2 linked regions of the Oryzias latipes genome follow. The protein of the gene in region 2 purifies or fractionates together with the protein of the main gene of each other region. This does not show direct contact. Links are inferred from orthologs where the notes say so. Each region holds a gene or a part of one and is shown on either strand. Other genes may lie near its edges.

What was found. The genes of interacting proteins can lie anywhere in the genome.
Region 1: the proteins of dual specificity protein kinase CLK2 (region 2) and psme3 purify together in Homo sapiens (affinity purification with mass spectrometry; 3 studies listed by BioGRID and IntAct, with this or other methods). This does not show direct contact. The link is inferred for Oryzias latipes from reciprocal best matches to the Homo sapiens genes CLK2 and PSME3.

The regions. Positions count from the first base shown.
Region 1 is NC_019877.2:17,757,853-17,761,605, forward strand, and holds the start of psme3 (proteasome activator complex subunit 3), read right to left. Parts: upstream 2,723-3,753; 5' UTR 2,604-2,722; coding exon 2,562-2,603; intron 1,596-2,561; coding exon 1,563-1,595; intron 1,453-1,562; coding exon 1,390-1,452; intron 1,244-1,389; coding exon 1,139-1,243; intron 1,058-1,138; coding exon 1,009-1,057; intron 927-1,008; coding exon 808-926; intron 649-807; coding exon 512-648; intron 398-511; coding exon 343-397; intron 1-342. UniProt on the Homo sapiens protein: Subunit of the 11S REG-gamma (also called PA28-gamma) proteasome regulator, a doughnut-shaped homoheptamer which associates with the proteasome. 11S REG-gamma activates the trypsin-like catalytic subunit of the proteasome but inhibits the chymotrypsin-like and postglutamyl-preferring (PGPH) subunits.
Region 2 is NC_019869.2:6,668,172-6,671,689, reverse strand, and holds the end of dual specificity protein kinase CLK2, read left to right. Parts: coding exon 1-47; intron 48-368; coding exon 369-451; intron 452-1,694; coding exon 1,695-1,774; intron 1,775-1,861; coding exon 1,862-1,961; intron 1,962-2,052; coding exon 2,053-2,241; 3' UTR 2,242-3,006; downstream 3,007-3,518. UniProt on the Homo sapiens protein: Dual specificity kinase acting on both serine/threonine and tyrosine-containing substrates. Phosphorylates serine- and arginine-rich (SR) proteins of the spliceosomal complex.

The DNA.
Region 1 (3,753 bases), on a different chromosome or scaffold from region 2:
TTATTTAGAAACTACTGATCTGTGCGGTGCAAATCTGTTTGTTTTTTTATCAATAACCCTATCTTCCTCTGAGCTTCAGTGCAAAACTCCTGATACATTCTTAATAAGTAGCTTGTAACAAATTGCTCAAAAAAATTACAGGAACATGTTCAGTTTTTAGTGAAGGGTGTTTTTCCAAATCAATATTTTTTTTAAACAGCTAGTTACAGAAATTAATTATTAATCCCTAGCTTTCCAATGACTATTTTGAAATGCTTCTAAAAGCATCCATTTTTTTACAGCAACAGGAACAAAATACCAAACCATTTTCATCCACATCCCTACTGAAGGACATTTACTTACCACATGCGGATATTTTGCTATTTTTGAAACCAGCTTTGCTCTCGTTATGTAGTACCTAGAAAATGAGAATAAAAGAACATATTCAATCAAAACATGACCAAAAAAACCAAAACAACTAAGCACTGATGCTACAAAGTTCGTATTTTGCTCTCTAAAGTGTTTGATTTACCTCGATATTTGGTCGAGGTAAGAGGCTGCCTCTCCTTCAACTGTTCGGAGTTCGGCTACTGTCTCCTCCTGAATTGAGACTCCAAAGTTGTTGCCATCCTCTATCCTTGGGATGAGCAGCTGAACCCACATTTTGACCTGAAGATTGAATTTAGAGGAAAAGACAAAAACAAAAAATGTGGGTTGCCAACATTTTTTCACCCAGTTTTTTATCATAAGACTTCAGATCAGGGCCAATGCAGAGGTGCCTGTAGACATTTAAGCGTTAAGACATTAATACATGCAAAGGCAACTTACTGTGTTACATTTCTCTATGAGCGTCCTGATCTCCGGCTTGACCTTTTCTATGAGATCAACAAGATTCCCATTGCTCTTCATCATTCCACCAGGCATGACAAAGACTTTGGTTCCGGTCACTTGGAAATAAAAGAAAGTTAAGTTAGTTACCAGGCACACAGTCCACTCTGACATGAGTTTGAAAATGAAAACAGTCCTTACTTTTGTCCTCTCCACTCCCATCCTCAAGCTTCCTCTTTTTGGCGTTTTGCTGTGGAAAAGATTCCCCAAAATTAGAAGTTTTTCTACACAAATTAGTTAAAAGGAAGTGCTGTAAAAATCCACAACTCACTGCCTCCAGTCCGTCGTGAAGGTTTGGGATTAGGATGGGGTCGGGTACTGTCAGGTTAATCTCTGAGTGTATGTCTTTCAGCTCAACAATGTTTATGCTTGGATCCTGGGGGGGGGAACCAAATTTGTTCTTTTTTTGTAATCAGATTACACTTTTTTTTTTTTTTACTGTGCCAACAGTAGTTAGAGTCAAAACTGTAGTTAAAGAAAGTTTCATACTGAACAACTAAGATTACAAAGGATAAAACATACCTTAAGAAAAGAATCAAGTTCCAGTAATTTCTTTGGAAAGAAATTTGCAACTAGATCCTCTGCCTAAGAGAGAAGCAAATAGAAAAAAACTTTAATACTAATACTGTTCTTTAAAAAAGGGGGTTTAAATAAAAAAAAAATAGAAAAAAAAGTATTCCAAATGCAAATCTCACTTCTGCTGTGATCCGTTCCCTGAATGCATCAACCTGTAAAATAATAAATATTTAGACAAAAGTTCAGCATCAGTACATCCCACGAACATGTGTTTCTCAGTGAGAATTTATTTTCTACTATAAGGTTAGTTGAAAAAATAAAACACAGCCATAATCGATTTTCATTCTTCAAAGTTTAATTATGTTATGGATAAAATTTACAGTAAAATAACGATAGATTATTTTACTATTATTATTTTTAAGATTAAAGAATGCAAGTAAGATCAACTTTTGATTAACTACATACTTTTATATGATCAAAGCAGTTTTAAGAAGAAAAAAGAATCAATATTTCAGTAAAATAAAACAGATTTAACATAATCTAAAAAGCACATGTTTCTTTAATCTTGCTATCATAGATAGAAACGTACATATAAAAGCTACAGAAATAAACCATAAATATTACTTATAAAAGGTTTATATTCATGTGCACCAACACAGACTAAACCTTTTTTTTAAACCTAAACTTATTGTAGTTATTTCTTTAGGGAACTATTATATTATTAGAGTCTCTAAATGAATAAGTCTCTCCGTAGTTCGCATTTTTTTCATTTGCTTAAATTTGATAAACGACACGCTCTTTAAAGTTAGTTTAAATACTGATCAGGGCAACAAGGAGTCGATATAAAGTTGTAGCATGATGACGCCGGTGGGTCGGTTGTAGCTTAGCCACAGTGGAGGCTAAGGCCTTCCTGACATGTGGTCTTCTGTCTCAAACTATCAATTAAACATAACAAGCACGCAATAAGACGTTTAATTCCACCCATTTGAAGCATTTTACCAGTCTGTCGCAGCACCTGTGATAAGTTTTGACAGATAAATTGCAGCAGGCGGGAAACATACCGGTTAGACATTGCTAGCTAGCGCTAAAGCTAACCAAAGACTCCACAACATGCCGCAAAATGCTAGCAGGCTAATTCCCACAATAACACGCGCAGGGGCCGTTCAGACAAACATCACCTTGGTTTTAATTTCACTGTCCACTTTGAGGAGTGAAGACATCTTCTGGGATCAAATGTAGATAGGACGTTTATCCCAGCAACAATAAAGTCTCCTGTAAACGTGTGGCTTCTTGCTGTCAGCCACACTTGTGTAGCTTAAAGATGACGTAATTACGCGACAGTTGCACTTTTTCCGCCAAAATCTTTATTGATAAACCGTTTTTACAAATGTAAATCTTCAAAGTTTTGGAATCCATCTTTTTATTTTTACTTCAGGATTATCATTATTGTTGATGTTGTTGTTATTATTATTATATAAAAATATTTAGAAAAGTCTTAGCAACAATAACGGGAATTGTGCCTTTTATGCGCACAAATATGTATTGTATATAATATTACCAAACATTGCGTACAACAGTATAATCAAATTGTTGAAAACAAGTATTGGCAATTTCATTTTACTTTGGAGATGCAACCAGAATTTGAGAAAAACGTCAATATGTTAAAATATAGAGAAATTTTTAAAAATAAAAAAATACCAACTTGTTAAGAATATCCTCTATAATAAAATGATATTGATAATCTTTAATAACTAATGTTCTATTTTCCCTGTAATTCTGTTATCTCTTCATACCTAACAAATACATTGGCCTGTGTCTAGGTGAAAAAAGTTCATTAATGTGGTGGTGGAAGATTTGTTAATTTTCCAGTACCTAGCTGCAGAAAAATAAATAGCAGACGGAATTCCACTCCGGAAGCAAAAATCGGTGGCTGTGTCCAGATCCACCCTTATCCCTGACTACTAAAAAACGATATAGTGCACGACTAAGTAGAGCCCTGGATTTTAAAAGCAATTCGGACACCATACTCACTCTTTTTTTAAACGGCGTATATGATGTAATCGATTTCACAATGTGAAAATCTCATTGATATGAGCATTTTGCGACAACCATTTATAAATCCACTGTGTTCTGAAGATGAAAACGTTAAAATTTATTTTATAACATACATTTAAATACATCTGCTTTTCAGAAGTTGTTCAAACGCAATGCATTGTGACCTTTTGCAGTCACTAGCTGTTCCAAAGTCAGAACTCCAGACCCTGAAGTCCAGGGGCGGGCAGGTCATCACAAATGTCTAACCCCGCCCCAAAGATCAAAGGCTCCTTCAAGAGCCAAAACAGAGAGGGAGAGTTTTTTTTTTTTTTTGTT
Region 2 (3,518 bases):
CACCATCGTGTCGACGCGGCATTACCGAGCTCCTGAAGTCATTCTAGGTGAGCGCTTCTCTTATCAAGCTGACGATCTGAGGGCCGTGAAGAAGAAACGGATGAAAGTCGGTCAGTTTATCCAGCTTAAGAAAGTTAATTCTCTATCTGCTGGAAAAAGTTGAGCATTTTCTGTTGTAAAGAACAGAAATGTCAGACTTCCAGGTCTGACGTTTTCCAGCTGACCTCATAAATGCAGCGCGGTCACGCGGCTCTTCATTATTCCTCATACATGGGAATGTCACGAGAGGAGCTTTTTTGTTGTTGTTTTTTTTAAGTTTGTCTCATGAATTCACCTTTTCACGAGTCCTGACTTGTTTTGCCGTGCAGAGCTGGGTTGGAGTCACCCCTGTGACGTGTGGAGCATCGGCTGCATCCTCTTCGAGTACTACTTAGGCTTCACTCTGTTTCAGGTACGTAACCTGTAGGTCATTGCTCGTGCCGCCGAGGACGTAACTGTGATTATCCTAAACAGAAATATGGAGAAAGTGTGTATTCTGTCACATTAAAACTTCTCATGTTTGAATCCCTTTAATCTGGGATGTCCTGATCCAGTTAGTGATCAGAAAGCGGGTCTGATTGGGTAGTTTGAGACTTAGGATCAAAAAGTCATGAACTGATCCGTGTTTTAAAACATTTCCGTTTTACTGCAAGTTTAATGTAAATAAGAGTTAACGTAACTTCAATTACACTCCAAATGACCCTCGTCTACATAGGAGGCGAACATCTAACATAAAAGAGCTTCATCTGATTGGTCAATGATGTAAAGGAGTCCATCTGATTGGTCAATGCATAAAGGGATTTACTTCAGACTTCCATAGATTGTTTTAGCACATTTAAGGTTACTAGTTATAGAAATTTTCGGCATCTTTTGCGATATACGTATTGCACAGCTCGATATCGCCATAACGATAAATTTGCGATTAATTGTGCGGGCCTACTGCTGTGTATTTGTAAAATACTAGAGGTCTGGAATTATTTGAATTCCTGGATTTCTGTCCTATTTACAAGTTCAACAAACAAGGACTGCTTGGAAAAATGAAATACACATTTTCAGACATTTAACTTGATGGACCTTGTCAGTTATTTTATTAAATTAGATAACGTTCTTTATCCCACGATGGGGAAATTCTAATTCCAAATGGGGAAATTTGCCGTTCCACATTACTCAAACTGTCAATGCTGATGACCTTTTTGGGGTCACGGCATTGCTATGTGGCTGTGGTTGGCAAACACACCGGTGCATTCAGACACTGCTGAATATTAAAATGAAGAGAAAACCCGAATCTGTGTATTCAATGTATTCATTTTTTTTTTACATGTTACAAAAGTATCGGATCTGGACTCGGTACCGGCACATACCAAAAATCAGATGACTGAAATCCTAAAAATCTGATGGGGAGATCACTAGTTTTTATGACAGACTGTTAGGCTTACTTAACCTTAACCAGGGACCAAATCCAAGTCCCCGATCGGTCCAAGTTCAACTGATTTAACTTTGAATGCGCGTTCAATGGCCGCACGTGTTTACGCAGATATAAAAACTCCCCAACAGACGCCTGACGTGCGCTTTTACGCATCGCAGGACAGGAAGCAGAATGTTTGTTGTTTTCGAGACTTCTCTTTAAGTCCCGACCTGTCGTCTTTATGTTTCAGACTCACGATAACCGCGAGCATTTGGCCATGATGGAAAGAATTCTGGGCCCGGTTCCCTCCAGGATGATCCGCAAGACTCGGTAGGAGAACCAAAGAAGACGTGGCGGCCACAAACGAAGCAAATCCACTCAGATGACGATTTCCATTTTCTGACCTGTGCTGTTTAGGAAGCAGAAGTATTTCTACCGCGGTCGCCTGGATTGGGATGAGAGCTCCTCTGCAGGAAAATATGTCCGAGAAAACTGCAAACCCTTACGGGTGAGTGAAGTAAGAACAGTTCACTATGAAGACTAAGCGTTTTATTCTGATCCCGGTTGAATTCCAAGCGGCCGTGCTGATCTGTGGGGTTTTTCCATAGCGTTATCTGCTGTCGGAGGCGGAGGAGCACCACCAGCTGTTCGACCTGATAGAAAGCATGTTGGAGTACGAGCCGGCCAGGAGGCTGACGCTGGCCGACTCCCTCAAACACCCCTTCTTCGAGAACGGGGGCGCCAGCGATGCTGCCGGCAGCAAGAACTGGGATAGCAACCGGGACATCAGCCGGTGACCCTCCGGCCTGCAGAGACTCGACCGAGGAGATGGAGTCCTTCCCACGTAAAAGCGGAGCCTCAAAAGAAGTCGGTGTTGGCGGCGTGGACGTTCTCCATCTGCTCCCTTTGCTTCTGCGGCCAAACTCTGCCCCCAAACTCTGAAATCAACACCGGTAATATCCGACTCGTTGGCTGAAGCCGGCCTCCGTGCAGCTCCCGTCTTCCTTTGGACCTTCCAGAACCTTCGTCCTCGCCGCGTGAGAGCTCCCATCAGCGCGAAGAAGAAACGTCTTCCATTTCTGACGTCTGAGGAAGATCCATCGTTCACAAAACATGAACGTTTTTAAAAGGACGACACCCCCCCCACCTTGCTCACTTGGTCCCGTGTGCCGGTGAGCTGATTGGCTCTCTGCCCGCAGGAGCCCGCCGTGCTGATGGATATTTGTTAAACTGTTTTTTTTGTTTTGTTTCCTAAATGTGTGTATCTGCGCATGGAGAGGTGAGGGGCTGCGTTCTGGTGGTCTGTTCTTCTTCTCACATCATTTAACCTCTTCCTCGTTTCGGTGACCCCACAGCTCCCCCTGCTGGTATTTATTATTATTTTTCCTTCTCGTTTAGGTCACGGTGCCCTGTTCTCATTCTGTACATTATTTTTGTTGGGTTTTTTTTGTATGAGATTCTGAGCGTATAGAATTGTATATATGTACCATTGTGTAGAATTAAAGTCTTGCCTAAAGGCCGCCGGAGCTGCTGGTGGCGCTTTGGGTCTTTGCTCCTGAAAACGCAGAATTCTCTATCCGTTTTCCAGACAACTGAAGAAAACATTTCAGTAAATTCACCGGAATCATACATCACTAAAGATACATTTGACATTTATGTCCAGCAGCCGTCCTCAACAGAGGGACCAGATTTTTTTTCCCCCCACAATTTTTCTTTCTTTCTGCGCCTTTTAGCTGAAATTTCCACGTTTTTTACATTTTCTTGAAATTTCCACCTGGAAACACTAGTACCCAGTTAAAAATTAATTTTGGACCATCTGGATCCAAAAAAAAAAACGAAGAAAAAATATGACATCATAGCGGGAGAAACCATTAATGAGTGGGACCCAAATCACTTATGGGGTTAAAAAACATTTCAAAGTTTACTAAAGCAACAAAAGCGTGGGATATTCAAAAAAAAGTGTTGAAATTATTATGGGATGGTCGCAGGACATATGGCTTGGTGGCCATATTGTGTTTTTTTTTTGTTTTTTTTTATACATTTTTGCACAATATGGGAAAAGGGAACTTGTTCA